Xenopus tropicalis: one gene and its partners. The protein of the gene in region 4 interacts with the protein of the main gene of each other region in a biochemical or structural test. Links are inferred from orthologs where the notes say so. Each region holds a gene or a part of one and is shown on either strand. Other genes may lie near its edges. The genes, in order: itk, axl, faslg, grb2, ptpn1, lcp2 and pdgfrb.

What was found.
Region 1: the proteins of grb2 (region 4) and itk form a complex in vitro, tested with the Homo sapiens proteins (2 studies listed by BioGRID). The link is inferred for Xenopus tropicalis from reciprocal best matches to the Homo sapiens genes GRB2 and ITK.
Region 2: the proteins of grb2 (region 4) and axl form a complex in vitro, tested with the Homo sapiens proteins (2 studies listed by BioGRID, with this or other methods). The link is inferred for Xenopus tropicalis from reciprocal best matches to the Homo sapiens genes GRB2 and AXL.
Region 3: the proteins of grb2 (region 4) and faslg form a complex in vitro, tested with the Homo sapiens proteins (2 studies listed by BioGRID). The link is inferred for Xenopus tropicalis from reciprocal best matches to the Homo sapiens genes GRB2 and FASLG.
Region 5: the proteins of grb2 (region 4) and ptpn1 form a complex in vitro, tested with the Homo sapiens proteins (2 studies listed by BioGRID). The link is inferred for Xenopus tropicalis from reciprocal best matches to the Homo sapiens genes GRB2 and PTPN1.
Region 6: the proteins of grb2 (region 4) and lcp2 form a complex in vitro, tested with the Homo sapiens proteins (4 studies listed by BioGRID and IntAct, with this or other methods). The link is inferred for Xenopus tropicalis from reciprocal best matches to the Homo sapiens genes GRB2 and LCP2.
Region 7: the proteins of grb2 (region 4) and pdgfrb form a complex in vitro, tested with the Homo sapiens proteins (2 studies listed by BioGRID). The link is inferred for Xenopus tropicalis from reciprocal best matches to the Homo sapiens genes GRB2 and PDGFRB.

The regions. Positions count from the first base shown.
Region 1 is NC_030679.2:14,179,108-14,183,481, forward strand, and holds the start of itk (tyrosine-protein kinase ITK/TSK), read right to left. Parts: upstream 3,103-4,374; 5' UTR 1,687-3,102; coding exon 1,549-1,686; intron 1-1,548. UniProt on the Homo sapiens protein: Tyrosine kinase that plays an essential role in regulation of the adaptive immune response. Regulates the development, function and differentiation of conventional T-cells and nonconventional NKT-cells.
Region 2 is NC_030684.2:79,144,509-79,148,377, reverse strand, and holds part of axl (tyrosine-protein kinase receptor UFO precursor), read right to left. Parts: intron 3,840-3,869; coding exon 3,739-3,839; intron 3,656-3,738; coding exon 3,473-3,655; intron 1-3,472. UniProt on the Homo sapiens protein: Receptor tyrosine kinase that transduces signals from the extracellular matrix into the cytoplasm by binding growth factor GAS6 and which is thus regulating many physiological processes including cell survival, cell proliferation, migration and differentiation.
Region 3 is NC_030680.2:107,206,011-107,210,356, forward strand, and holds the start of faslg (tumor necrosis factor ligand superfamily member 6), read right to left. Parts: upstream 2,861-4,346; 5' UTR 2,797-2,860; coding exon 2,533-2,796; intron 1,171-2,532; coding exon 1,125-1,170; intron 772-1,124; coding exon 715-771; intron 1-714. UniProt on the Homo sapiens protein: Cytokine that binds to TNFRSF6/FAS, a receptor that transduces the apoptotic signal into cells. Involved in cytotoxic T-cell-mediated apoptosis, natural killer cell-mediated apoptosis and in T-cell development.
Region 4 is NC_030686.2:44,467,809-44,472,359, forward strand, and holds the start of grb2 (growth factor receptor-bound protein 2), read right to left. Parts: upstream 3,149-4,551; 5' UTR 3,129-3,148; intron 3,104-3,128; exon of another isoform or gene 3,081-3,103; intron 1-3,080. UniProt on the Homo sapiens protein: Non-enzymatic adapter protein that plays a pivotal role in precisely regulated signaling cascades from cell surface receptors to cellular responses, including signaling transduction and gene expression.
Region 5 is NC_030686.2:35,883,212-35,887,080, forward strand, and holds part of ptpn1 (tyrosine-protein phosphatase non-receptor type 1), read right to left. Parts: intron 1,856-3,869; coding exon 1,755-1,855; intron 668-1,754; coding exon 569-667; intron 1-568. UniProt on the Homo sapiens protein: Tyrosine-protein phosphatase which acts as a regulator of endoplasmic reticulum unfolded protein response. Mediates dephosphorylation of EIF2AK3/PERK; inactivating the protein kinase activity of EIF2AK3/PERK.
Region 6 is NC_030679.2:32,338,503-32,342,371, reverse strand, and holds part of lcp2 (lymphocyte cytosolic protein 2), read right to left. Parts: intron 2,238-3,869; coding exon 2,194-2,237; intron 1,661-2,193; coding exon 1,483-1,660; intron 899-1,482; coding exon 810-898; intron 40-809; coding exon 1-39. UniProt on the Homo sapiens protein: Adapter protein primarily involved in signaling pathways within T-cells, as well as other immune cells such as platelets, mast cells, and natural killer (NK) cells.
Region 7 is NC_030679.2:21,233,653-21,237,521, reverse strand, and holds part of pdgfrb (platelet-derived growth factor receptor beta), read right to left. Parts: intron 3,305-3,869; coding exon 3,112-3,304; intron 2,190-3,111; coding exon 2,074-2,189; intron 865-2,073; coding exon 741-864; intron 546-740; coding exon 325-545; intron 1-324. UniProt on the Homo sapiens protein: Tyrosine-protein kinase that acts as a cell-surface receptor for homodimeric PDGFB and PDGFD and for heterodimers formed by PDGFA and PDGFB, and plays an essential role in the regulation of embryonic development, cell proliferation, survival, differentiation, chemotaxis and migration.

The DNA of each region.
Region 1 (4,374 bases), on a different chromosome or scaffold from region 4:
ATTGGGTTGGTTTCTATACTGGCTGTTTGTCTGTTTGTTTGTCTATTACCGGCGCATGGAGTAAATAGTAAATCTTCTTATTGTGTCCAAGGAAAGCAAATGTCATCTAAACGAAAGAGGGGCATCATTTAGTGTTTGTCTACCCCACTTGCAGAAGATAATTAGTTAGGGGTTACCAATAGGGAGGTATGCCACTTTATTGCTTACATTTAATAACAATAAAAATAAATGTTTACCAAATGTTACCAAAATTAACAGCTTTATAGAGGTTATATGTGGTTGTGGGGGGCCCAGACCATGGGATCTGCTTCTTCCGTAGGTGCTAGAAATCCCCCTTCCCCAACTGCTCTCTCCTACCTAACGTGGCACGAGCAGGGTACAGGAGCATGCGGGGGCCAGGTAGGGCTTGCTTTGCATGCCGTGCCCCTCCAAAGATTTTTTTTATGGGGAAGGGGTGCCTGAGGCACATTGTAGATACACCACTGGATGCAGGTACTGGCTCGATTGCCCTTTTTGTAGTTAAGAAGAAAATTTCCCCCCCTCTAGGGCAAACAGGAGATGCTAGAAGGCAGAAATTACAAAAAGGTTCACATTGATGGACATGTGTGTTTTTTCCACCACCATTTAATTTGTAACTGTGTTAATGTTATAACTGTAAAATATACACTTCAAGCCAACATGATTACATGATTACTAAAATACAGGTACAAACCACAAAGGGCTGGGTCAGAAAAGACATTTGCCCCAAGCCCACTGCATCAGGAGGGCAACAAAAACAAACTTTTCAGATGGAAACGCAACTGCCTGTATGGCAGGCAGTAAAGACAGGGCTGGCCTGCACTTGCTGCTGATTGGCTTTGCACCTTGCAATTTTTTTTTCTTTTTCTTAAATGACCTCCAGTTACTCTACTATATCATAATAAACAATGTAACATGGTTTATGATAATGAGCAGATATAAGCAACTAATGATGAAACAGCTGTTAGAGAAATACAACTTCCAGCAAGAATGCCCCAGCAAGAAGAATGCTGGAAGTTGTAGTTATAAAACTGAAATAACTTTATCTGGACTATGAATCAGAATAGTGGAATAAAGCCCAAGGAGGTTTGCGTTATGAATGCATATGCCTGCAGTCAGGACATCCAATATTGAGGCAGGTGTTTATTTAGAGGCCTATCATTTTTGTTAACACTGTTAGCACAGTTTTGTACTGAGGTCAAAAGATTAAAATATATTTATGAAGTCCTTTGGTACAGTAAGACAAAACTGCTGAAGCACTAAGCTTAGCGCATGTCAAGGATATAACCAACATTGCTACATGGGTCCTTACTGGTATGATAAAGACAAGAGAAAAACCCAGGGAGTAAGATGGGGCAGAAAGAGAAAGACAAGGATGTAGCTCCAACCCTAATAAGACACACAAGCATTCATATCAATACAACATTCACACAGACCCTTGTTTGTAGGAACACTGTGAACAAAGAAGCCAAAGAATGAAACCACATTCCAACCTAATGCCCTACAAACCCTTGTGCTACATTCGCTCACCCCTTGCCGATGCTCGTAGTAGTTGAGTGAAGAGTGGGTCAGGATGAAGATCCTGGACTTGTAGTTAGCTGGGGACGTCCTTCTCTTCTGCTGGGACTTCTTAATAAGCTGTTGTTGCAGGATAACAGGGTTATTCATCTGGGATACCAGACCCTGTTCCCAGAGTCACCAGAAGACCCCGAGGCAGATCACATAGAAAATATTTGTTTTTTACTTTTTTCAAGAAAAATTAAATGAGACCACCTAGTCCTTTAAGAAAACACTCTAAGAGAGAGGATGAACAATCACATGACTGCATGAGACTGTTAGCTGAAATACTCAAAAAGAAGGCAGAGTAGGGGAAGGGGTGCTGCCATAGAGAGCGGGGGAGTCACTTATCGAGACATCAGTGAGCAGAGCAAGGTGAAAAACTTGTTTTATGACCTCAAGCTTCAACCACATCCTTCTTTTTTCTATTAAGTTGCTTGTGTACAGCAGGGGCTCTCTCCAGCACATTTCACACATTTTTCTACCCACTGCTTTGCTGTATACCTTAATAACAAGTGCATTGCTCACAAAAAAGCACAAGAACTAACTTATAATGGACTAAATATTTCGAAGGCTTTAGTCATACATGTCTTATGTAACTTTACAAAAGTGGTTACATGTCTTATGTATCAATATGGAGGGCCACAAGTACCATATTGGTGAATTATAGTCAGTAAATAGCGCCATAATACTGGGGGGCAGAGAATAATGTTGTGAGCCCTTACCCCCCCCCCAAAAAGAATCAGCAGTGACTCAAGACTTGCACTTTAATTACTATATGCTTCCCTGTAGTTACCTGCACCAAGTAGGGTCATATAGTGAACTTACCATGTGGCCCGGGACTCTCAAGCATTCTGGTTAAGCTGGTTAAGCTTTGGCCGTGCCAAATATTCTCCACTTGAACTCAGCTCTTGCCAAAGCAGATCATCCTCCATAGCAATAATTATGCCCAAATAAGCTTGCATTACCCAGCCCAAGCTCAACCCAAATCAGCAATCCACCTACCACAGCTCTCCATGCTTCCATTTGTTGTCTGCCCAGTGGTGTATCCCTCCAATATCATCTTTATCCATCAGCATGACTTTCTGGCACTATATACCACAGCAGGATATTTGCCCTGTGCCTACCAATAGACTATCTGTCCCTTTAGCATTATAAATGACAGGCCTGGACTGGCAATCTGTGGAGTCTGGCATATGCCACAGGGACTGCTGTAATCTATCATAGACAGTCACTATTTAGAGGGCTGTTTTGGGCCTTTATGTACTTAAAATGCCAGGGCCTATTTTGAATTCCATTCTGGTCCTGATGACTGTGCAACACTATGCCCCTAATAACACAACTACCCAGAGGCTGTCACAAGTGCTTTGAAAATGTGCACTAAAGGTGTGATTTTGTGTCCCTTAGGGCCGTGGCAGATGGGGAGATTAGTCGCCCGTGACAAATCTCCCTAGTTGCGGGCGATTTATCTCCCCCATATGCCATCCCACCGGCTTAAATGTAAATCGCCGGTGAGATGGCATATGCAGTGACGTGATTTCCCGTAATCGCGGAAGTTTCCTCTCAAGGCATATGCCATCCCACCAGCGATTTACATTCAAGCCAGTGGAATGGCATATCAGGGAGATTACTCGCAGGCAACTTATCTCCCCGTCTACCACGGCCCTTAAGGTCCCCATACACTATAAGATCCGCTCGCTTGGCGATGTCGCCAAGCGAGCGGATCTTTACCCGATATCCCCACCTACGGGTGTGCGATATCGGGTAGGAAGTTGCTTTAAAAAAAAATAATCCGATCGTTTGGCCCTGGGGCCAAACGATCGGATTACAGTTGCGGCCATGGGGCAGTCGGTTCGGGGGCCGCATCAACGAGCCGATGCGGTCCCCGATCCGACTGGATTTTCTAACCTGGCCAATCAATATCTGGACAATTTCAGGCCAGATATCGGTTGGCCAGGCCGCTCGTTTCTTCCCATACACGGACCGATTAGCTGCTGAATCGGTCCAAGGGACCCATATCGGCAGCTTCTATCGGCCCGTGTATGGGGGGCTTAAGTGTTCCTACACTTGTAGCAGGGGCATCACTAAATTACCGCTCACAGCTCCCAAGCATACTTGTACACCAGCAGTATATCTGGCCCTTCAGCATCATGGCAATGCCACACTGTAGGGGCCATTTATTTATACCCCTGCTGCAAAAGCAAGAGCATTCCCTTAGTGCTCACTCTCAAAGCACTGACAGGGGCAGACCTCACATGCTGATAACAGGCTCCTCTGTCTCTTCATAGGCTGCTCCCAGTCTTCTCACAGACTGCCCTCCAGTTTCCACAAGTAATTTCAGCAATTTCCCACATGGAACCTCTCATTGTGCCACTGGCCCTAGAAACACAAAATACGCATTATTGTATCTCAATTTTAAAATGAAAGGTCCAGACCATAAACACCATAAAGAGAATAAAGATGAACATTTAAAAAATGTTTTATGTATGTCCAGCACCTACAAATATGTTCTATTTAATATGGGAATTGTTTTGAATTCTATGGGTGGGTAGAAAGCCATGAACCTATACTGTAGCAGACTCATGTTCACTACATCTTTTAAACCAGCTTGTTTTTGCTTTTAAGAGCAACAACCAGTAGTACAAAGACTATAACCAGCCAAACATATACTGCTTATAAAACATTCTTTTTGGGAAGCCACACGGCTCCCCCTGCAGTTGGCACCACGTTAAACGCTTCCAGCGCCTGCGCAGTAACACGCCATTGTTCAATAGTAACAGGTAATGGACGCTCTGGAAA
Region 2 (3,869 bases), on a different chromosome or scaffold from region 4:
ACCCAAGGGCCCATTGGCTAATAATTACCCATTATGCCACTACCAATATCAATAGTGACCCAAATGGAAAATGTTTTGTGCTCAAGAGATAAAATGTATGCACCCTAATATCCAGTGACCTTAATTAACCTTCCTCTTCAGGGGAATATTGAAAGGAATGTACCCACAGACAGCAGAGATGTCAGCATAGCTTTTCACTGTCTGTTTTCTGTAAGGATATTGATTAAAGTAGAACCTTGAGGGATATGGTAGTGCAGCATAAGAATCTTCCATGGCATATTTCTAAGAAGTAAGTGCTTTGGTTCTACCTTACCTATTCAAGGTTTTAGACCACCATTACATTAAAAACACAGTATGAAAACTCCCTACCCACTAAAGTTATATAACCACACGAGCCCTTCCCACAACTCTGGCAAGCTAGAACTACTGTATCCTTACAAATGGTGCCCACTGATGCCAATAGTTAGAATCAGTGCTTGTTGGTATAATTTGTGTCACATGACTCGCTGACCTCACAGTTTAATGACCTGTATGAAAGAACTCTGCCTTTGGCCCCATGTCTTTATATTGATATGAAAGTCGCCAGTGACATCTAATATCCTTATATTTTATATAATATGATATGTTTTACATAGTACATGTAGATAGTACTTAAAGGAGAAAGAAAGGTAAAAACTAAGTAAGCTTTATCAGAAAGGTCTATGTAAATACAGCCATAAGCACTTACAGAAACGCTGTACTGACTTCTCTGAAAAAAGATTAGTTGTGTCTGTAATTCCTGTGCCAGAGACATGCAGCTCTCTGCTCTCTCCTGCTCCCCCCTCCCTCAAGAATGCTAAGAACTCCCCCCCCCTTAGGAATGTAGATCTGAGCCAATAAGCAGGAAGCATAGTCTTATTAACTGAGCATGTTCACTTGGTCTGGGTGTCTGTGCAGGAGTGAGGCATTATGGGAACTTTCTTTACACAGCTCAGTGTTTTTTCTTCCTGTTTGGCTTCTGATCTTCTGAACAGGTGAAATATGGGGAGACTTAAGGGCGCTATTGAGACAACTGAAGGTATGCCTGCAGCTTGAGATTAACTCTTCACTAGCCTTTCCTTCTCCTTTATTCTGCTGTAGTTCTATCACTGGATGAGTAGGCAATCCAGTATCATTTTACATTTTTGCACTGCATTGCATTTTTGCATTTTATTATCTTTAATGATTATAATTAAATCCAAAAAACAAATTGTATTTGTGGAATAACAAACTCTTTGTCTGCAAAAACTAAAAATGTAACCATAAGTACTCTCATGTATATACTATCATTGCTCATGTATATACTATCCTTGACTAAATGTACTGTAAGCACATATACAAGGCACCTGCTTGAAACCTGCTTCAGCCTATAGTTCAAAATAATGAAGAGTAAATCCAAGTGCACCGGACAGCAGGAGATTCTCTTAAAACTTTAGTCTTTATTCATCCATTTAAAAACAAGCCACGCCTAACGCGTTTCGTGCACAGATGCACTTAATCATAGGCTGCCTATGATTAAGTGCATCTGTGCACGAAACGCGTTAGGCGTGGCTTGTTTTTAAATGGATGAATAAAGGCTAAAGTTTGAAGAGAATCTCCTGCTGTCCGGTGCACTTGGATTTACCCTTCATTATTTTGGATATTTTGCCTTAGCTACGGGTTCGGGGCCCTAAGCACCCGGGCCACTACGGGACTACGGTGAGCTTCTTTATATCGCTTCTCAGACTTTTCTACTACTTGAGTGATAGACCTGGGGTATGGACACCCGGGTCTCTACTTTATATTTGGTACGGATTTGTACCTTGATCCTTTGAGTCAGATGAATATCTGAACCATAAATAACATTAGCATCAACCTTACTTATTTATTTTAAGCGAGCATAAATTTTGTATTTGGTGTCAGCCTATAGTTTAGTTGCAGCTTTACAAGGAACTGGCTCTTTGGTATTGCTACAGGATGACCCATAAACACTTGACTGCCATTGGTGCCCTTTAGCCTGAGAAGAAATTGACCAACACACTGTTTTAACTCAATCCCCACCTTTTGGTTAATAAAAACATAGATCCCTGAAAGACCTAACCATGGTACCACTAATAGTTGAAAAGTTAGTATTTAGTTCATTAAGGGGTATTTTTATCATGCTGTGTAAAAAGTGGGCTCAGCCAAGCATTGACAGAATATACAGTAAATACCTGCCCTACTAATGTAATACAGTAAGGGGTATACATATCATGCTGAGTAAAATATTACCGGGGATGTTGCTCAAAGCAGCCAATCAAATGCTTTTCTTTGGTTTTCCTACTGTAACAATCTGATTGCTGATTGGTTGCAACGTTTTACACAGCATGATAAATATACCCCTAAGGGTTAAATTAGTCATGCTGTGTAAAAAGTGGAGTGAAGCATTACCAGTGATGTTGCCCAGGGCAACCAATCAGCAATTAGATTTCAACAGTTAGAAAAGCATATGATTGGCTGCTATGAGCAACATCCCGGTAATGTTTTACTCTATTTTTTACACAGCATGATATGTATACCTCTTACTGTATTACATTAGTATGGCAGGTATTTACTGTACATTCTGTCAATGGTTGGCTGAGCCCCTTGGTACAGAATGTGCTTCAGTTTTAAAACTAGTTTCTAGTTTCCTGATTTCTGCCAAGACTGAAAGCTTTCAATATTTCCCACCCCCATCCTTCTTCTATGCCAGATGTCAGTAAAAAATTATTTCCCCCAGAAAAAAGGAAAAAAAGACTTATAACAGCAACTAAAAATAGAGTGGGAATGAATTACAAAAAAAGCCCCTGCTTTATTATCCAAAATAGAACATGGAGAGGAGATGGAACTTGTAGGCTGTATACAGTCAATTCAGTGAGACTGTTTTACCAAGATAAAATGGGGGTTCAAAATGTGTTTGTGATAGAAGTGTAAGCAACCATTTTAGTGATGTCTACATGTGTGTTTAGCCCAACCTGTGCCTTATTAAAATAACAATTCCCTGCTTGTATCTCAGCATGTTAAAGGGAAAATATATCCCTGTTCTGGGGTTATGTAAAAAAAGGCGCAAAAACAATATCTGAATTTCCATAAATAAATATGAATGAATTTTTTTTTTACAGAGACATTCTTAATTCCACAGATTTAAAGGAAACCATAATACTCTGACAAACCATTTTCCAAGCCCCCTTAGGCTCGCCGGGTCATGCAACCACTCCCTCCTCTTGTTCTATTCTAGTATTTGAAGTCCTTCTGCTTTCCAAAATGGGTGGTGCACAGAGGAATAATAATAAATAATAATAATATGCAATGATATCTGTTAAACAAAACACATTTTGAATTCTTTGACATCATCATGGACAGTTGCAGACAGCTTAAACTATACAAGGACATCTAAGCAGAAATGTAGCTGATTATTGACCCACCATTTTTTGATAACCAGAACATTGTCTCTTACCTTTCACTTCTAGAAAAGAAGGCGGCAATGCTAAGGCATCCTTGAGAGAGTTTAGGGGGGCCCCATTCTGCAGCCATATCACATAAACTGGATCAGGGGGACCCTGGGCATAACAGCTGAGGTTGAATGATTGATTAGGGTAAGTATCTAGATCTTGGGGTTCTTCAATAAAAACTGGCAAACCTAGAAAAATTGGGAGAGGCACACGGGATAAGTAATAAACACTAGTGTAAAAGCCATAAACGTAAAGATATGAATGCACAAACCTTCCAGCTCCAAGTAGGCCTCGTCAGATAGAATCTCCTCTCCTTCAATAGTTACTGCACAGCTATATTGCCCTGAGTCTGACAACTGCAGGGAGGGAATGCTGCAAAATAATCAACAGGAAACAAAATCT
Region 3 (4,346 bases), on a different chromosome or scaffold from region 4:
AATAATAATAATATATATGGTAATGGGGCAGTACACACCTATATACATCCTCCCTCGGAATCAGTATAATATATAGGACTTCTGTTTAGTTTTAAATTTATTTTTTTTTTAAAAATCCATGTTCCTTATTTTTAATATTATAAACCTTGTTTATCTGAAGGCCAAGAATCCGCCATGTGTGGCAGAAGCTATAACTAATCTGCAGCCTTTGTTTGTATAATCTTTCTATGCAAAGATAGACTGGTAATCTGTTTTACTACCTACTCCTCTACTGAGGACTGGTAATCTATTTTACTACCTACTCCTTTACTTCCTACTCCTTACTGGACAGAACCAAGAAAGTATATATTTATAAGGTAAAATTGGCCAAGCCTTATTTCTTGAGCTTATGTTGAATAACACCGTTAAACAGTTGTAGATTAAGCCCAGTCTACCTGCGACTGTAGACAATGTTGCAACAGTGTTGTACCTGAGCCTGTAAGAACCCAGTACCATATTCCCCTACCCCTCTATTCCCACTTCAGAAGAACCTTTTCAACAGGCAAGAGTGCTACTGCATATTAGGATGTAACATGCAACTGAAGAGTTCCCAGCAAAGTAGCTGGGAAAGGCCCTCAGAGGTCTTGGGCTGGTACCATGTGTAGTTATTATGTCCAAGGGTTTGTAAGTTAAGAATCCATACTTCATGCATTAAAAACACATATGATTACCTACCTGTTACATGTGCAGCAAGTCTACTTTCTTTTTTCTCAGTTGGGTGTTTGTTCAACCCTGTAAAAAGAGCAAACATTCAATTGATTTTCCAGTATGGTCCTAACCTAAGCACAAAGTGCAAAGTGAGAGAAATGCTAGGTAGACCAAGGCCAATTGTTGTTGATGTTGCAGGAAGGCTCACAGTTATTAGATGTAGCACCAAGCATTCCAACACTGGTTAAATGAATTGCCTGCATTGGCCATAGGCAAGAAATAGAAATTAGTACTTCACAACCTCAAAGTAACCGTCAAGTGTTGCTCACCAAATGCAGCAGCTAAAGGAGAACACTTCTAGAACTTACTCCCATATAAACTCTGCTAAATAGCATATGCCACACTTTTATTTTATAGAGAAACATATTGTAACTCACCAATTAATTTTTCCAAAGCAGGAGGTAATGCCTGGTCACCAGAAATCTAGAAAGAAAAAGTTTGTGGAGATTATTTGCATTTCCAAAAATCATTATCAGCTTTATGAAATCTGCATATGAACTGCAACTATGGAAATCATTATCTACTATACTATTTATTTCCAGCTGCTAAGTTGCTTTCTTTTCTATTACTAGACAAGGGGTGAAGCTTGGGCTCAAAGGAAACAGTGATGGATATTCCAACTGCTTTAATGTCAGTGTGTCTGGGGAAAAAAGTAGTTTCATGGAGCAGGAGCTCCTCCTATTGGATACTCTCCAAAAATATGCTTTTTAATTGCAGCAAGAAACACCTTTGGTCCTGTCTTCGTCCTGTGCACCTCCAAAGCAATTGGATAGACAGAAACACAGTAGCAGGAGTAAGGTGGTGCATTGGTTTTCTTAGTTCATGGTTACTTTAATATATACCACATATAAACCAATCCACGACACAGCTAATTTTTTAGCTCTAGAACAAGCACATTTTTAAAATCCCTCAATGCACCATTTAGAAGAAGTGGAGTTAAAGTTTTTTAAATTCTGTACATAGGTACAGGTATCAGACCCCTTATCCAGAAACCCATTATCCAGAAAGTTCTGAATTAAGGAAAGGCCATTTCCCATAGACTCCATTTTAATCAAATAATTCACATTTTTAAAAATTATTTTTTTTCTCTGTAATAATAAAACAGTACCTTGTACTTGATCCCAACTAACATATAATTAATCCTTATTGGAGCCAAAACAATCCTAGTGGGTTTAACTACAGTTTAATTTTTTTTTTGTTAGCAAATTTAAGGTAGGAGATCCGAATTACGGAAAGACCCCTTATCCGGAAAACCCCAGGTCCCAAGCATTCTGGATAATGGGTCCCATGCCTGTACTTGCCCAGGGATTTGTTAATTATATAAAAAAAAGTAATCACAGTTTTCCTATTCTCATGAATTAATGGAATTCTATAGACCACTAAACTATTATAGTGATATTATTGAAAAATATCTTATTGTAAAACCAAGCTGCATTATTATTTCTATGACAAATTTAAGGGTACCATCATTTTTAAATGGTGATGTGGAGAGAACCAAAGGTTTTTCAAGTAATTTATGCCCTTCCACTGAAAGCCCTGCCATGAAGTACAGCAGATAACCATGACACTGGGACAGCGGAGTCAATCAGCTTTCTGTGCATACAGAGGAACCACCAGAAATTTGTCTGCATTGGATCACTGTTTAAGGGCCACCAATGAGCAACCCTAGCTTGGTCAGAAATATCATTATAAAGCTTTTCTATGCTGCCAGATAAAACACTGGCAAGTTACTTAGGTTGGTTAGGTTAAAATAAAGAAAAAATCTAAAATTAATATGTTATGTACCTCCTTAACGTTGTCCAGTTCCTTTTGCAACTCGATGATTTTATAGGTGCCAAGACCAACACCAAAAAGTGCTAGCAAAATCAGAAGGAACATGATCAGCAAGTAAGTACAAGTGCCATCTTTACGTCGTTTTCTCCTGAAGTCCGGGAATGGGGGTGGTAGAGGCATATTGACTTGGTTTGGTGGCAATGGTGGCAATGGTGGGGTTCTACATGGATCCGTCCAAAAAACTGAAGGCTGTGCGTATCTCATATCTTGCTGCATAATGGGATTTGTCAATCTGAAATCAACGTAATGTGCTGCTGATGTCTTTGTATTGTGCTGTAGTTTTAGCTGCTGAAGGAAAAAACTGTGGTTGTTTCATGTGTAAGTACATTTATAGATTCTAGCTGCTAATTCACACCACCCTCTTCCACCCCCTTTCTTCCTCTCTTCATAGTTCAAAAGTGGAACAGAGTGTGATTCAAAATGCTACAGCATTCTCTTACTTGGTCATTCAGAGAGTGTATGGACTAGCAAAGCATAGGGATCAGGGTGCTTTTAATAAATCATAGTATTTTTAAAAAATATAGTAAAGGTTTTAAAAAGGAATGTTGGGGTTGACATTGCACAAAGGGTCACGGTTAACTGTTTCTATAAGCCGAGGACCTCTGCAAGTAGTTTCTATATGCCAAGCACCGGTCTACTCTCAGCCCACTGTGCAACCAAAGTGATATTTTACAGTGAATATAAAACAAACCACCATGTTCTCAGGACAAATCTCTTTCTGAAGTGGGTGTGATTTTGCTACTCAATAAGTTAATATGTATATAACTGTATATGACTTGGTAATAATAACAGGTGCATTCTGGGCAATTCTGCTGCCTAAGGGGGCAGAGCCCAGCTGTCAAGTGTTAGCCCAATGCCTAACCACAAATAACTCCCCATTGCCACTGTGGAGGGCCTGGTAGGTACATATGTTGGACGGAAGGTAGCCATTCCTGACTGGAGGTTTGCCTCTTGCTACTGCTGGAGATTATAATGCTTTTCAGTAGTTAGAAGCATTGTCAGTCTGTTTGAAAGAGGCATTGGATCTTAAAGTTACAAGTGTTCCATGGTAGCTATTAGCTGTTCCTTGCTGTTTACCTAGCCTGATGGCCAAAGCATCCCTGAGTCATGCTGGTGTCTCAGTAGGTTTTGTATAGCCCAATGCTCAATCTATTTATACCAAAGGTATACAAGAGGGGCTGCTGTAGTCTTTAGTTATCCGCTATGAAAATGGACCTTATGTGGCTTCCTTCATAGCTACAACTTGTCCCTTCTAGAGAATGACAATAAAAAGTACAGTTAAAAGCCAGTTGTGTCTGAAAAAAAAAAATACATTACAGTCACAGCATATATGATATGATGAAAATGGTCACTTACTCAGCTAAGCAGAGGCAAAGCAAGACAATGCTCAGTCCATAGTCATGGCACTTAAAGGACTCCTCTAAAATTACTCCTTTATATGACAGTTACCATCTTATTTCATTCTTCCAGGGATCCCTAGGTTGACAGTTGACATGCATAATACAGTAAAGTCAGAAAAATCCCGGTACTGAGCCTGCACCAACCCAGGGTAGCACCAGGTATCCCTGGGAGCATAACAAACTATGGCCCATAAAGGTCAAAGGGCCCTAATAAAGCAAACCAAAATAAAAAGTACAGTAGGTTTTAGCACAGTGGTTTATATTTATGAAAGATCTACTAAAGCTCATTAAACAACAGTTAACAATATAATACCAAAAACATAATAAGGGGGCAAGAAAGAAACACAGCTTAGATAGCTGCTGCTG
Region 4 (4,551 bases):
TAATAATAAGTCATAATACAATACTAGTAATGCATTCAGATTCACATTAGATGGCAACACAAATGCATTTTGCATCAGTCAACCCTATACTATCAGCTTCTATGACAGATGAACAACACTTTTTGCTTGATGACCACCCCTAATCTTAGCGTCTCAGCAGCAGCCCAGAGCACACTGAGCATGTGCAGTGCCACCGACACACAAAAGAGGGCCTAACAAGATGGGGAGCTGTTAATGGTCAACTTTGAAGGCCTGGATCATTACTGTTACTGCTGCACCTCTGGGCTGGTACTTTAATTTCTTTAATATGCACTCCTATTTAGGCTTTAGCTCTCCTTTAAAAGTTCATCATAATCAGATACATAACAAGCCATGGCCAGGTAGTGAAGCAATCAGCTTTGCTTGCTCTCCAGGCTGCGAGTAGCTACCAATCCCCACCCCTCAGCACAGGCCCGGGTAGCCAAAACAAAACATGTACATCCACATGAAAGGGAAAGTAACTGCGTAATTGCCTGGTTTACACAAGCACTTTAGCTGGATGCTGCTGCCTGACCGTGTGGGGTTAAGTGCTTTATATAAATAAGCCACACTGCACATTCAATATATTCTCACATACATCTAATCCACAAATAAAGTGTTTTAAAGGGCCCGTTTCAACAGCACAACTAGATGTTATGGGGCCCAAAGCCGATTAGCTACCCTTTATCAGCAGATTCCAACCCAATATGATAGGTTCCGAGCCATGTATTTGATCGCTGAGCATGCAGTGATCAGGCCTATATATTCCAAATGCAATCAAGCCTGCACCTCTAGAGTCCATAACAGGTGAATAGTGTTATTCCAAGAAATTTATAACCCTGATTGTGGCGTGTATGGGAGTGCAAGACAGCATAAAAGATAACAATGGGTTAACCACATACTCATAAGAGGAAATGCAAATAACCAAGACTATAGCTGTGTTACAATATAACGAAGTGAACAAAGTACAAATTCATCAAGGAAGAACTAGTATGAAGAAGGAAACAAATAATGGCCACCAGGTGGCGATGTTGCCACCGAAACCTATGGGGGGAAAAGGCTCGCACGAACTAAGTTCAATGGCAGCCCCCATCCTGCTAAATAAAGCAGAGGGAAAAAGATGTTCCGGGTACATAATTAAGCCAGTAAACAGATAATAAATATAAATAATAAATGCCGCATGTTGCAGGCATCTGTCAGAAACCAGCAGGGATGCGCCGAATCCAGTATTTGGCCAAGATTCAGCCGAATCCACAGTCCTGGCTGAACGGAATCCGAAAAATCACCAGACTTTTTGTCATGCAAACACGGAAGTTAAACATTTTTTGCCACGCGTTGTGTGCAATGCTAATTAGGAATCGGTCAAATGCTTTATATAGGATTTGGGGGTTCGCCAGATTCGGTGCATCCCTAGAAACCAGCATGTGAATTATACCCCAATCTCACCACACTGCCCCAGATTTGATTTCCTACAGTAAGTAATTAACACAAGATAAATATATACATACACTATAAATATACATGCAGCTGCGCCTCTAGCCCAGATTTTCTTTCTCCCACTTGCAACAGCAGGCGTCCCCTCAGCCCTCACATACAGTCTATATCCCCCCCCCCCCCCAGGTTTGGTATATATCCTCCAATCCCCCTTCTGCTCCTATAGCCCAGCAGGTCTGTATATCCTACTCAGAGTATAGGTCTTACACCCAGTGGCAATTCCCATTCACTTCTACTGGGGGTGAATTATAACATCTAAATGAGGGCAATTTGTCCCCCCAGAACAGACTCTATTCTTCCTTTCCCACCTTGCCCTTAGTTGCCAAGTCTGTGTCCCCCCCTGCCCCTTGTCTGGAAGCCAGTATAATATTTGCCCTATTTTACCCATCATCATCCTCCTCTGACAGTTCACTTCTCCCCTTGCTTCACCCTCATTAATCTCAATTTCCAGTCTATTCAGCTACTCAACTGTCCCTGTTCTGCCCCTGGTTTCACCCCCCCAGCACATCTGCTCTCTCTCGCTGTGTTACCCCCACTATGGTATCCCATCAGCAGTCTCTTTTCCTTTGTCACAGCTGTCACACACTGTTCCCAAGACACAATGCTCACAGTCAGCTATCACTCAGCAAAGGTTAATTAAGCCAATGAGGAGTCTGGTAGGGATGCTAAAAGCCAATCATACTGTGTGGGCCCATCTGACCCCACCTGGCCCTATCCACATGCTAATGACTGTGACTGCATATATCATGGCTGCACAGAAACCAGTGTAGCCCGCAGCACCAGAGAGTGAGATGTCAGTCCCGGCAAACTATCATTTCTCCCATTACACAGGTCCCCTCCTAAGGCTTGTGGCCCTATAAATGAATGTACAAGTAGGAGGGCCCCAAGCTGTGTGATTTCCCTACCCACTTCCCTTCTGAGGAATCCTGATATAGATCTCCCCCCCATCAGTTCCCCTTGCATTCAGCCCATCTCAGCACTTCCCTCAGTCTCCCCAATTCCCCCCACTTCCCCTTTCTGCCTCTCTCCCCCCAGCAGTTCCCTTACCCACAGCCACTGGCTGCTCCCGACCCCTACCCACAGCCACTGGCTGCTCCCGACCCCTACCCACAGCCACTGGCTGCTCCCGACCCCTACCCACAGCCACTGGCTGCTCCCGACCCCTACCCACAGCCACTGGCTGCTCCCGACCCCTACCCACAGCAACTGGCTGCTCCCGACCCCTACCCACAGCCACTGGCTGCTCCCGACCCCTACCCACAGCCACTGGCTGCTCCCGACCCCTACCCACAGCCACTGGCTGCTCCCGACCCCTACCCACAGCCACTGGCTGCTCCCGACCCATACCCACAGCAACTGGCTGCTCCCGACCCCACACCCGGCAGCCCCTCATCAGCCTCCCCAACTCCCTCACCCACTCTCCTTCCCAACAACATCGCTATCGCTCTGCGCACCCCTTCAACGGGCGCCACTCCTGCTGCTGCTGCTGTTGTACTACAGCTCCCACTATCCCCCCTCCTCCCTGGCAGCCCATGGGACTTTCAACTCAACAACAGCCGGACACCCACCCACCGCTACATCGACTTCTACGACACGGCTGACACTCATCTCCCCACCTCTCGATAGAGCTTTTCAGAACCCTCACCGAATTCCGCGGAGCCGCTTCTCCTGTCTCTCTCCCTGGCCGCTTCCGCTCCGCCCCGGGGCAGATCCTCCCGCGATACTTCCGGGGCTGCGTGAGTCCCTGCGAACGGCGCATGACGTCATATGAGACGTGAAACGCAACGCACTTGAGGGGCGGGGCAGCCCATGTTTTGTCAATACGGCTTGAGCTTGGGACAATGACTGCGGTTATTTGGTTATCTATAGTCATGTGTCCAAATGGTCACCAAATATTCACAACTCTCCTCTTGGCTGTACACATCACTAATAAACCTGTAACTCTCCCCTTGGCTGTACACATCACTAATAAACCTGTAACTCTCCCCTTGGCTGTACACATCACTAATAAACCTGTAACTCTCCCCTTGGCTGTACACATCACTAATAAACCTGTAACTCTCCCCTTGGCTGTACACATCACTAATAAACCTGTAACTCTCCCCTTGGCTGTACACATCACTAATAAACCTGTAACTCTCCCCTTGGCTGTACACAGGAATTATGGTATTTTTCTCCAGAAAAGGTGGCAAGCCTACACAGAACCCTATCATGGTGACTTCTCCCTGTGTGTTTAATGGTGTCCTGTGTGAAACCCATCTATATCTTCCCACATTCCAGGGCCAGTTTAAGGTAGGGTTGCCACCTGTCCGGTTTTGATCCAGACAACCTGGTTTTGGGAAAGTCAAACCCTCCTGCATTGATTCAGTGATCGGGCAATTGTCATGACCCCGCCTCTCCCCCCACCCACTTTCTCAGCTGGCAGAGGTGGCAACCCTAGTTTATGGGTATGGCAGGGGCAGCAGAAGATGTTTTTGGTTGGGGGCCAGGAGAGGCCCCACTTGTGCCGCCCACCCCTCTGCCTCTGTTTAGCCACAACTTCCAAAACCAGGGGGGGTGAGGGTAATTCTCTCCCCCAGTTCCAACGCCTATGGTGAGGGCATTTGCGCCATTGGTCAGTTAAGACCCCCTCACAGCAGGGGGTGTAGATGTAAAATAACACATACTACATTGAGGAGCAACTGATAGTTGTCTTACTGGAAAAAAAAAATACAGCGACCCTTTAATACAGTTCCTCATGTTGTGGTGACCCCCCAACCATAAAATTATTCCTAAGAACATCAGAAATATGTGTTTTTCAATGGTCTTATGCGACCCCTGTAAAAGGGTTGTTTGACCCCCGAAGGGGTCCCGACCCACAGGTTGAGATACAGCACTAACGGGAGCTACTAACCCTCCTGCCACTTGGGTGTCACCATGTCATTATCACTCAGTTCATCTTCCCCCCCCCCCCCCCCTTCACAATAGGAATGTATCATCTTGCAGTGCACCTTCCATTGCTTCAAAATAACATGGTAGAGCACTAAGGGGCGTTACTAG
Region 5 (3,869 bases), about 8.6 Mb from region 4:
GATTAAAAAGTCGCACCAGAGTCCAAGCAACAAACATATAGGGCTGCTGTACGGGGTCTTCAAGAACCTTCTTTTGGGGCATATTTATTTAAGGCAGCTGTTTTACTTGCACTGACTCTTGCGTTTTTTTCTTTTGCTTTGAGTCCTGTTTCTGTATGGCCGTGGGCAACCTGGCCTATTCCAGGGTGTCTGGAAGCCATAGAGGGAGCCAATTCCAAATGCTGCTAATGACATTAGCATTTATGGCCTCGGGCTTACAGGTTAATTGATAATGGGTATTACAGGTTTATTTGACTCAAGTATTTCTGTGCATTCTATAAGGGGGAATATTTACTGGATTTACAGGACATTTTTGTCAAACAGTGAAAGCAAATTGCACTTCCGCATAAAGAGCTTCAGGAAAACCACATCTAATCCCGTGCAGCATGAAGCCAACTGTACCTTCACCCAAGCGCATTGGCTCAGCGCATATTTCATTTTGGCACGGGGTAGGCAGCTACATTGTGGCACAGATTAAACAAGTCTGGGCTCAGAGCAAACACAAAAGGTACAAGTTGAAAATACTTACTGATCCCTTTTCAATCACTCTGTTGAGCATAACCACTCCTATGCTCTTCTGTTCCCAAATCATCTCCCAGAAATGACCACAGGTATTTGGCAAAGGCCCCTGTATAGAAGAAGGAACACACAAAAATAACACAAATATAATACTTATTTAGAACAAAAACTCCCCATTCCTTTCTCTTATTCCAGTAAGTGGCTGAGATCAAGTTTACTGTGCTGTGTGGGTTGAACCCCCTACTGTAAATGATAAGGATATTAGAAGTCACTGAGGGGTTCTGTGACCATATAAAGGCACAAGGCTGCAGGCTGAGTTATACAGGGAACTCTGAGTATCACTCATGTATTATAAGGGCTAATGTACCCCCTACTGTAAATTACAAGGATATTAGAAGTCACTGAGGGGTTCTGTGACCATATAAAGGCACAAGGCTGCAGGCTGAGTTATACAGGGAACTCTGAGTATCACTCATGTATTATAAGGGCTAATGTACCCCCTACTGTAAATTACAAGGATATTAGAAGTCACTGAGGGGTTCTGTGACCATATAAAGGCACAAGGCTGCAGGCTGAGTTATACAGGGAACTCTGAGTATCACTCATGTATTATAAGGGATAATGTACCCCCTACTGTAAATGATAAGGATATTAGAAGTCACTGAGGGGTTCTGTGCCCATATAAAGGCACAAGGCTGCAGGCTGAGTTATACAGGGAACTCTGAGTATCATGTATTATAAGGAATAATGTACCCCCTAAGGTTACTTATAAGAATATGAGAAACCACTTCGGGCCATATAAGAATTCCAGCTTGCAGGCTGAGTACTACTATATCATGGAATACAAATAAAACAATCAAAAGTAACATTTAAACTAAAATATATATTTTAGCTAGGGGGTACTAGCTACAACCTATCTCTGGGCACTATGCACATATCTACACGACACTGAATAAGGAGCAAAAGTGGCAACTTCCCCACCTACCTTTCAGAAAAAAATGCCAAATGAGCTGCCTGCCATGTCAGTGCACTTGTGCTTAAATGCAATTGCTACAAAAGTGAATGGGGGCGGGGGGGGGGTTTACCCACCAGGGGATGCAGCTGCCAAACATTGAAAACTATTGTTTCACTGAACTCAAATGTTACGGTTTAATCCTTCTCCCCTTCTGCTGCAACATCTACATGCGTATATTCACCTGGGTAAGAATGTAGCTCCTTTGTGCCTCTTCCATCTTGATAAGACTGGCGTTAATGTAGTCATTGTCCTCTCGGTGCAGTTTTATTCGACTGTGGTCAACTGGGACAGAAACAGAACCGGGTGAAATTACTTGGAGAGGCCCAATGAGCCACAGGCACCGAGTCAGAAGTACAAGCGGCTTGAGTTAATCGTATTTACTGATTTAAACACACAAATACAAATGTATCAGCTTAACAGCCTACGTCAGAGTAATTAATTCTCTCGCTCTAACCACTTGTCTAAATAAAGTCCTTACTATTTCATTCATCTTATGAAAAGGAATTGCTAATAAAAGGACAAGGAAAATCCACTACGGAACCCAAATATGTTATAAAGCAAAGGTAGCGGAGAAGTAGTGGAGAAGGGGTCGGTGACCCACTTGTTTTACTGGGACTGTACAAAACCCAAGCTCAGGTAATTGTTGAATTCATTTGAAAATTTAAAGGGAAACTAGCTATTAGTGTTAACAATTACCTATTTTCAAAATACTTTCAGCAGCTATCCGGTTGCTAGGGCCTTGTTTACTGTTGCAACCAGGCAGTGGTTTGCATGAGAGACTGGAATATAGATAGAAGAGGGACTGAATAGAAAGATAAGGAATAAAAAGTAACAATAAAATTGTAGCCCCACAGAGCAATAGTGATTTGGCTGCAAGGGTCAGTGACCCCCATTTCAAAAACAGAAAGAGGCAAATAATTCAGAAGCTATGAAGAAATAAATCATGAAGACCAAAACCGCTAGGATTAGGCCATCCTATAACATACTAAAAGTTAACTTAAAGGTGAACCACCCCCTTTAAGACACAGAGAATATAAAAAATGTAAAATCTTGAAGCACTCCAGCCCTGCACCATTTTTGGGCAGATAAAGAGAATGAATATGTCTATAATATTTAATGTAAATATGAATGTATATATGTATGTCTTTGTTTTCCCAGTGCCTGGGAAGGGGTTACTAGCTGCTGGCAGTTTCAGGCTTTGGTAAGCTTCCATTGTTGACCTCTAACACCCCTACACAGTCACCATTGCCATAGAGGTGCATGAGTGTGAGACTAGAGCAAAGTCGGAAAAGAGAACTGTAATTGTATGACTGAACCAGGGAAGTTCCCCTTTTGGGTAGATTATTCTCCAAATTTAAAAAAATATATATTAATAAAGAATGAGTTGTTCAGCAATTGCCAGGGCAGTGTAAACCTTGCCTCTTCCTCACTTGTCTGAATAGCATTAAGTGCACTGACTGGCAATATCACTTTAGCCAACTTGTATAAAGATATGTAAATACGTGGGCAAAGGAATGGGCATGCTCAGTTATTCCTGCCTTCACTCCTCTTGGAGCAGGAACAGCCCCCTAAGTTTGTTTATAGGCTGCACTGAGAAATGCCATAAAATTATGCCAGCATAGGTATTCCCCTGTACTAAGCACAATTCAGCAGGAACAGCCCCCTAAGTTTGCTCATAGCCTGTACGGAGAAGTACCATAAAACTATGGCAGCATAGGGATTCCCCTGTACTAAGCACAATTCAGCAGGAACAGCCCCCTAAGTTTGCTCATAGTCTGTACAGAGAGATAACATAAAACTATGGCAGCATAGGTATTCCCCTGTACTAAGCACAATTCAGCAGGAACAGCCCCCTAGGTTTGCTCATAGCCTGTACGGAGAGGTACCATAAAACTATGGCAGCATAGGTATTCCCTTGTACTAAGCACAATTCAGCAGGAACAGCCCCTAAGTTTGTTTATAGCCTGTACGGAGAGGTACCATAAAACTATGGCAACATAGGGATTCCCCTGTACTAAGCACAATTCAGCAGGAACAGCCCCCTAAGTTTGCTCATAGCCTGTACGGCAGGGGGCTCAAACTCAATTTACCTGGGGGCCGCAGGAGGCAAAGTCAGGATGAGGCTGGGCCGCATAAGGGATTTCACAAAAAAATTGGCTTTCAAGGGATAATGCAAGGCACGGCGGGAGCTGCTAATAGCGGAAATGACGTTATGCCATCATAACAGTTATTATGGGAAGACGTTCTGTGTGCACAATTAGCTCCTTAGCAGCTAATTGTGCACACAGAACGTCTT
Region 6 (3,869 bases), on a different chromosome or scaffold from region 4:
TCTGTTTTCTTGATTTGATGAGGGTGAATACCCAGGAAACTGATACAACAAACAAAAACAATAAGAAAAAGTTTCCCTTTTACTATGTCTCTGTATGTAACTGCTTATGTTAGATAAATATTTGCCATCTTTGGATATCAATATTAATTGCGGGAAGCACAGAGATATTAAAACATTCTAATTTCATTACTGGATTGCCCCCTGATAGTTTGTATGAATTGGTGGAAGCATGGGGAATACTGTCGTTGCATTTTGGGTCAGCTGATGGTCATCATTCAACCTTGTTATGTTTTTGGTTTATCAGCTTTGGTACAATTGCACTGAAGGTTGATTTGCCAAGTCAGCAATTTCTAGGCATCTCTTTCGGACAATAGATCTTAGAATGGAATCAGAAATAGAAAATATACATGCCTGGTCAGGGTCCTAAATCCATTGCTGGGTTGAATACTAATGGGGGTATGTAATAAAAGGCACTAAGTCTGCCCTGGAGCTACCCATAGCAACCAATCAGCAGGTAGAATTTACTGGTCACCTCTTTAAAAGCAAACAACAAACATTTTATTGGTTGCTATGGGTTACTGCTACTGGACAATAAACCCAATATGGGGGTAAGACTACAATATGTCCATTTTCCACCTTCTTGCATCCAGACAATAAATAATGTCCCTTCTTTACCTGCATTAAAATTTAAATATTAAAATTTACATTTAAAAATATTAAGACAACACTGCAGAGACAGTTTTTTATTGGGTTTAATCTAAATATATTCATATATTATTTTCATTTTTTTAGGTCAACAAACAACTTACAGTATGTCCCCTGTTTGGTGGAAGTCCTGGATTCCCCGGCCTCTTTGGGGGCTCTGGAGGATTTTTGGTAGAATTTCCAAACTCTCTGTCTAAATATTCAAAAGAAATATTTAATAATTAGAAATGTTTATTAACTCAAAACTTCAGAATGTCTAACAATAATATGGTCATACATATAAAACAGGAGCTTGGCTTGAAGCCTTGCTTGCATATTAAGCACCTTTCCATCGATAAACATTTAGGGGGAGATTCAGTAAGACCCGAACGCTGGAGCATTCATACGAACGCTCCGAGCGTATTCTCGCTGTTTTTTCCGCGTGCCCGCATAAAAAATTCGGAAAGGCTCTGCCGCTGTTTCCAATGGACAGTACGAAAATTTTGTGACTTTCGGATCGTCAATACGATATTATCGTGAGTAATATGATTTTTTCGTAAGCATTTTCGGGATATTTGAGATCTTTAGAAATTTTTGTTTCCAATCCGAATTTTTCCCATTCGTGATTCAAATTTGTGGATTAGTAAATCTGCCCCTTAGAGTATATTTAATTTTTTTTTAAAATAATAAAGCATATTTTTCCAGATTTTTTTCCAAATTTTTAGAAGTGTTAATTGTATGTAAATTGAGTTTATGGGTTTATGGTAATTAGAAAGGTACACAATGTACCTAATTTACCTGCATAGGGGGAGTTAGTTACATTTGGCTTTAATTGAAATATGGGAGGATGAGCATCTTCAATATTGGGAGGAGGTGGCTCATAATCTCCATTTTCATTTTCATCCTCTTCATTTTCTGATGCTGGGCGTTCATAGTCATCATCATCAAACTCATTGGGACTTTCATAATCCTCCTCCTGTTCATATGTACATTAAATATGGATATAAAATTAGTAATCAGTTGGATATAAATGACATTTTCACATACTGAGAAACCATTGCCCTATACCTTGCCAATACATACTTCAAAAACTGCAAGTAGTGAATGGTAGTGATAAGCAAATCTGTCACATTTGCAAAACTGCTTAAAAATGTGTGTAATGGTAAAGAAATTTGGGAAACATGGCTTCCACACCACTTGATGCACACAACTTTTTCCTTATTTGTCTGTGACTTTTTTTTTTTACACCACGACTTATTTTGATGCATTGACCAGATTATAGGTTTAGGCCATGACCAAGACCTGCTAGTCAGATCTGAGGACAGATTACAGATTGTGTAACAGAGGATGCCCCTTCTTCATTGCACTTCATAAAGCAGAAGGTTGCACTGCCCATTAAGATTAGATGGGTTTAATATTTGATCTGAGGTGTGCTCCATTTTTTTTTTCTAAACTCTAATCTAACTGCATTATCTATCTGAAATATATCACTTGGGTATGATTACTTACAAATGAGTCAGAGTCAGAAAATTCTTTGTCTTCAGGAATAAATTCTAAAAGAATAAGGAGATAGGATAAATTGCATTTATTAAGACATAGGGCTATGCCACACACTGAGCTACTTGTAGCCAGTTCAATAACAAATTGTCTTTGCTAAAACACTAGTAGAAACAATTATCAGTGGTGTCTATTTAGTAGCCACAACAAGTAGGCTGTGTGTCATTGCCATTAAAGGAGTAGGAAAGGTACAATCACTGGGGGGTGCCAAAATGTTAGACTCCCCCCAGTCGCTTACCTGTTTGGCGCTCCTGTTAGCAGAAAACTGCACCAGCCCAGGGTAGCTGCAACTGAGCAATCCTCTTCCTCGACTTTCTTCTGAATCCCGGGGCCCTGGTGCAATTCTCTCCTAACAGGAGCACCAGCCCGGGGTATAAGGTAAGCGATTACTGTCACTGGGGGGTGCCTAACATTTTTGCACCCCCCAAATGATTGTACCTTTACGTCTCCTTTAATGCTAAAGAAGAATCCAAAAACCATTTGTTATATCCTTATATCAACAAGTACTGACAATGACACCTAATAGTATGAAAAGCTTTTATCTTAACCCCCCCTTGTAACTAAGCTGAAACGCTAAGCAATGGTACGACACTGTTATTCCGTTTATTCTGAGATGAATTTGAAAAACCTGCTTCCAGCATCAAGGGACAATATTAACAGGAATCTAAGCTTCCAGTGATAAATGCACAGATGGAGCACAATTTATTTTCGCATCAGGCTCACAGACCATGCACAGCACTTACATTTCATTAGGAAAAGGGTTGTAGCAGTGTGAGGCAGAAATCTATAAAAAAGTGTTCTGCTTCTGTAGTCAATTGAGAAAAAAGCAATTTACATGCTTTATTTATATGCGCATAGCTATGAAGTTTTTCAATGCTCTTTAAACAGAAAACAAACTGGTCATACCCCATCTTTGCTTTTTTGGAGGGTGGGAGGTTGTTACTGACTAGATAAGGAACCCTCTAATGGTAAATAAAAAGGTTGGTCTAAGGCCAGGATGTATAGAGTCACTGTTGCCCCTGTGAAAACTTACCCCAATGGCGAATAGAAAAAATAAAAAATATTTTAGAGTATCCACTTCAAGAACAGAAAGTAGTGTGCTTCATGCATATTATTTTACTATTAGAACCCCTGAGGCCATACCTAGGTGGGATCCATGTATAGGATTTGGGAGAAATTTTCCACCCCATCCTACAGCCCGGCACTCATTGCTTAAATCTCACAAGTTATTTGACTTGCCCCATGTTTTAGAGGCCACAGAAGCACGACCACGGGTGATAAGCACATTTCTTCATTTCCTCAAATCATCTCTAACACATTGAGCCCTTTGCCCTCAACCCCCCACATAGGATTGGACTGGTTGACTGATGCAACAAACAACCATCTAGTACAAGGAAGAAGAATGAGGCCCAGCTCTACTGCAAATGGAAAGAGCTTCACAACTACAGTAGGTCAGAATGCAACTATAGCAATTTTAGTTTGGCTGGATTAATGTGGAAGCCAAGTCAGAAAACACAACACAGATTTATGTACTAGTGATCATAACGTACTAGTGATCATAACGTGGTCTTCTTCAAGATGCAGACACAACTGCCATTTTATAAATGCCTGGTTTAACCTCATCTTGA
Region 7 (3,869 bases), on a different chromosome or scaffold from region 4:
GAATTTAATAAAATGTTTGTTTAGTCCAATATACTGTATTTATGCCCCTTGGACAATAGTCAAGGACAGGACCATACGCTATGTTGCAGAGACATTTCTTCAAGGAGATTTTTCCTTAAATTTATTGTACAAACATGGCTGGTCCCTAATGAACTGCAGGTCTATCGAGGCTATCCATCACTAACTCATTCTTTCAGTTGATCAATGGATGCTGTGAGTTTCAATCCTGCGGATGCCTACCCTGTTCTGTTGACATTGCTACTGAATGGAGGTACTGTATATTAACTTCCATCCATAATGGCAGGAGGAATGAAGTTTACTCACGGTGTGGTGCTAGTGTGGCATCTCTGTAACTTATCCCAAGGAGGTTTTTGCCTGAGCAGCGGACTGTGATGGAATCTTCCAGACCTTTGAAGTGAAGGACACTTTTTACCGTGTGAGGACCGGGACCCTCCAGCACTATGTAACTGATGTTGGTGTGGAACTCTAGGTCTGATGTTTTGTTATCAAGAAGTTTCCATGACTCCAGGTCCTTACTGTTACACCTATTATATAGATATTTAAAATATAACAACCTTCAGTATCCTACAATGGGGAAAAAGGGCCACAAATAGTGAATAGTGCATGTGTTATCAAATCAAAACTCAGGGGCATATCAAAGTGGGTTGGGAACTGAGACCTCTAATGACATTAATTATAAAGACAGATGCAAGCAAATAGCATTATTGGCAACTAGTTACCTTTTGAGTTCAGTGCAGATGTGCCATGTCATTTCTGGGGCTGGTATTCCTTTAGCTATACATGTGACTATTTGGCTGCCACTCGCGGGGTGGGTATCCACCAGCTCTGTTATTTCAGGGGGCACTGCACAAGGAAAAGGTAATAGCATATCAGTGTTATTCCTTTCATATAGGGTCCTATTTCATTTCATATATGGCAGTGCTGTCCAACTGGTCGCATGCGGCCCCCTCTGTGTGGCCCCCCACCTGTCTGGCTGCTTTGATGGCTTAAATTTGTGTAATCTTTAAATGGTCAGTACTGGCCCCCTGCATGGTTAACACCTCAGATTCAGGCTGTAATCCCTCTGTATTGTTTAAAAAATGTAATCCCCTGTGTTGTTTACACTTTTTAATCCACACATTGTTCAACCACTGCATTGTTCACACCTCAGACCCAGCCTATAATCACACACATTGTTCAGATGTTCACACCTCAGACTGAAGGAGCAAGAGAAACCTACAAATAAACCCTGCACACTACAAAAAGAACATATACTGAGGTGGTACTGCAATTAAAAAGTTTTTTTTATATAAAGTTATTGTGCAGACTGTAGGCGCAGTGCCAGCACACAGCCAGCATAGGGCAGGCAGAGTATGGCACACACAGGCAGCATAGGGCAGGCAGAGTATGGCACACACAGGCAGGGTAGGGCAGGCAGAGTATGGCACACACAGGCAGCATAGGGCAGGCAGAGTATGGTACACACAGGCAGGGTAGGGCAGGCAGAGTATGGCACACACAGGCAGCATAGGGCAGGCAGAGTATGGCACACACAGGCAGGGTAGGGAAGGCAGAGTATGGCAGGTTTTTGCTGTACTACCACAATTAATATCGGTATGGTCATGTGATAACATGGGTGTGGTTTCAAGTGTGGTTTAAAAAAGGGGAGTGGTCAAAACTGGCTTCCATTATCGACCCTCCACCATGTAGGCCCTCGGTGCCACAGAAGTTGGACAGCACTGATATATGGTTTGCCCTATCTGTGCAGCAAGCTTTCTTGTACTGCCATTGAAAAATGGGATAAACTAAAAGAAAATGTGAGGCAGTCACTGTTTAACATAAACCCAATAAGGTGGAAGGCTTTCTGTGCCAGCTCTGCCTAATGATCAGGCACAAACTGCAACTGCTATTTACCAGAAATTATTTTTTACTCCCCCATGAGAGATTTCATCTACTGGGAAAGAGCTGTAAGTAATTTATCTGATTCAAACTAAAATATCTTGAGAAATATGGGAACATTGCCAAACCCTGAGTCATAGCTCAGTCTAAATGGCTCTATTTGAGATGTCTCACCATTTATCTGGAGGTAGAAAGACTTCTCTTGAGTTGTATCTTCATTAAAAACCCTGATTGTGTAGAGGCCTGCGTCCTGTTCTTTCACTCGCACAAGGGATAAGTGACTTGTGTACCTTGAGATCAAGAAAGAGATTGGTCCTGTGCTGGGCTGAAGTCAATATTAGAAGGGGGGGGAACATATAACCAAAAGAGCAAATAGTTTTCTTGGAACAGAATGGTTGATCAGAACATCTCCAAAAACAAGTATTTCTATTTATTTGTTTCTGGTAACTACTTTTTAAACAGAAGCCTATACCCCCTTAACATTCCTACCTTCACCATATGCCAGTAAGGGACTCACAAACAATTACATTTGGGTGTATATTTTATTATATGATCCTAAGGGCAGCCAAACCCAAAATGTCTTTTAGTCTCATTACATACGGAGTACTGTTTTTACCCTATGTTTTACCAATACTTAAGAACTGCAGTGCTCCTCAACTTACAGTGAAATATGCCCTGTATGCCGCCATGCCTGCAGTTTGTCTTCCTTCAGATATCAGAGGATATTTTCTTAACTGCACGTTGTCAAGCACAGGCTATAAAAGCCATTGACTTGGCCCCTCCAGACCCAGTTTGCAGCTTATTGAAGCCCTGATGCTCTGACCAACCAATATCTGGCTAAATCCTTCTATTGGGCAACATCTGCATGTGTGTACGTGTCAAAATAATCCAAATTCTAGTCAATATCTGTGTGAGCTTATTGGTAAATCCATTTAGTTAATGATCCTATAACATACTTGTATAAAGCCACTGGCCAAATGGAATGATGAGCCACCAGCCTTATCAACCAGATTTGATCAATAAGGGCATTTTGTGGCCACTTTGACTACTTGTGTGTAGCCAGACTGGCCAATGCTCTGCCCATTTGGCCATCAGGTCACAATGGCAAAACAAACTGTATCTATTCAGCTTTGGTAAATAGAAAATAATAATACCATAACTGCTGGAACAAGTAAAGGTTACACCTAAATGTTTGTTTCTTAAAGCACTCACCTGTTTTTAGATGTAGCTTTGTCCACAATAGTGATTTGGTTGGTTTTATTGCCTGTTAGGGTAATGTTGTCTTTTAGCCAGACAATGGTGGGTGGTGGGTAGGACTCAATGTTGATTCTAAATAATTTGCTTTTATGCTGGATAGTATAGGATATGCTGCTTTCATTCGTAATTATATTTACAAATCCTTGTTCTATAAAAAGAGAATTAACATTTTAGGCAAGATATACAACTCCCATATAACTATATATACATATATAAATACAGGTATGCAGTCTATTGGGCAAAATGTCTGCCTCTGTGCAAACAAATTAGCCTTTGTGCGAATTTAATATGGGCTTTGTGAACGCCAAAGTTGTTTAGCGACCACTTCCGAAGATGGAAGAAAGTTTGCAAATGTTATTGTTTGCGACAGTACGCAGTGTATGTCATAAAATTTCTTTTAAAGCGCCATTAAAATTTGCAATGCAAGAATAGTCTAATTAACAACATTATATTGTGAAATGTGAATTTTTGCTTTTATCTGTGTGCATTTTTTTTCTGTTTACGACTTTTATTACATTCCTCCATGGGTGGAAAAAGGGTCAAAATGTCTGAAGGGTGTTCAAGTTATATTCTCCTTTTTGCTCCTCCTTTGGTGCATGAGCATCACACACCGGTGTAGGGGAGCCCTGTACCCAGGCAGAGGGAAAATATGTGTGTGTGGGGACTGGGTGAGCCTAGTCAGGTGACCAGTTCACAGATCATAAATATGTAGG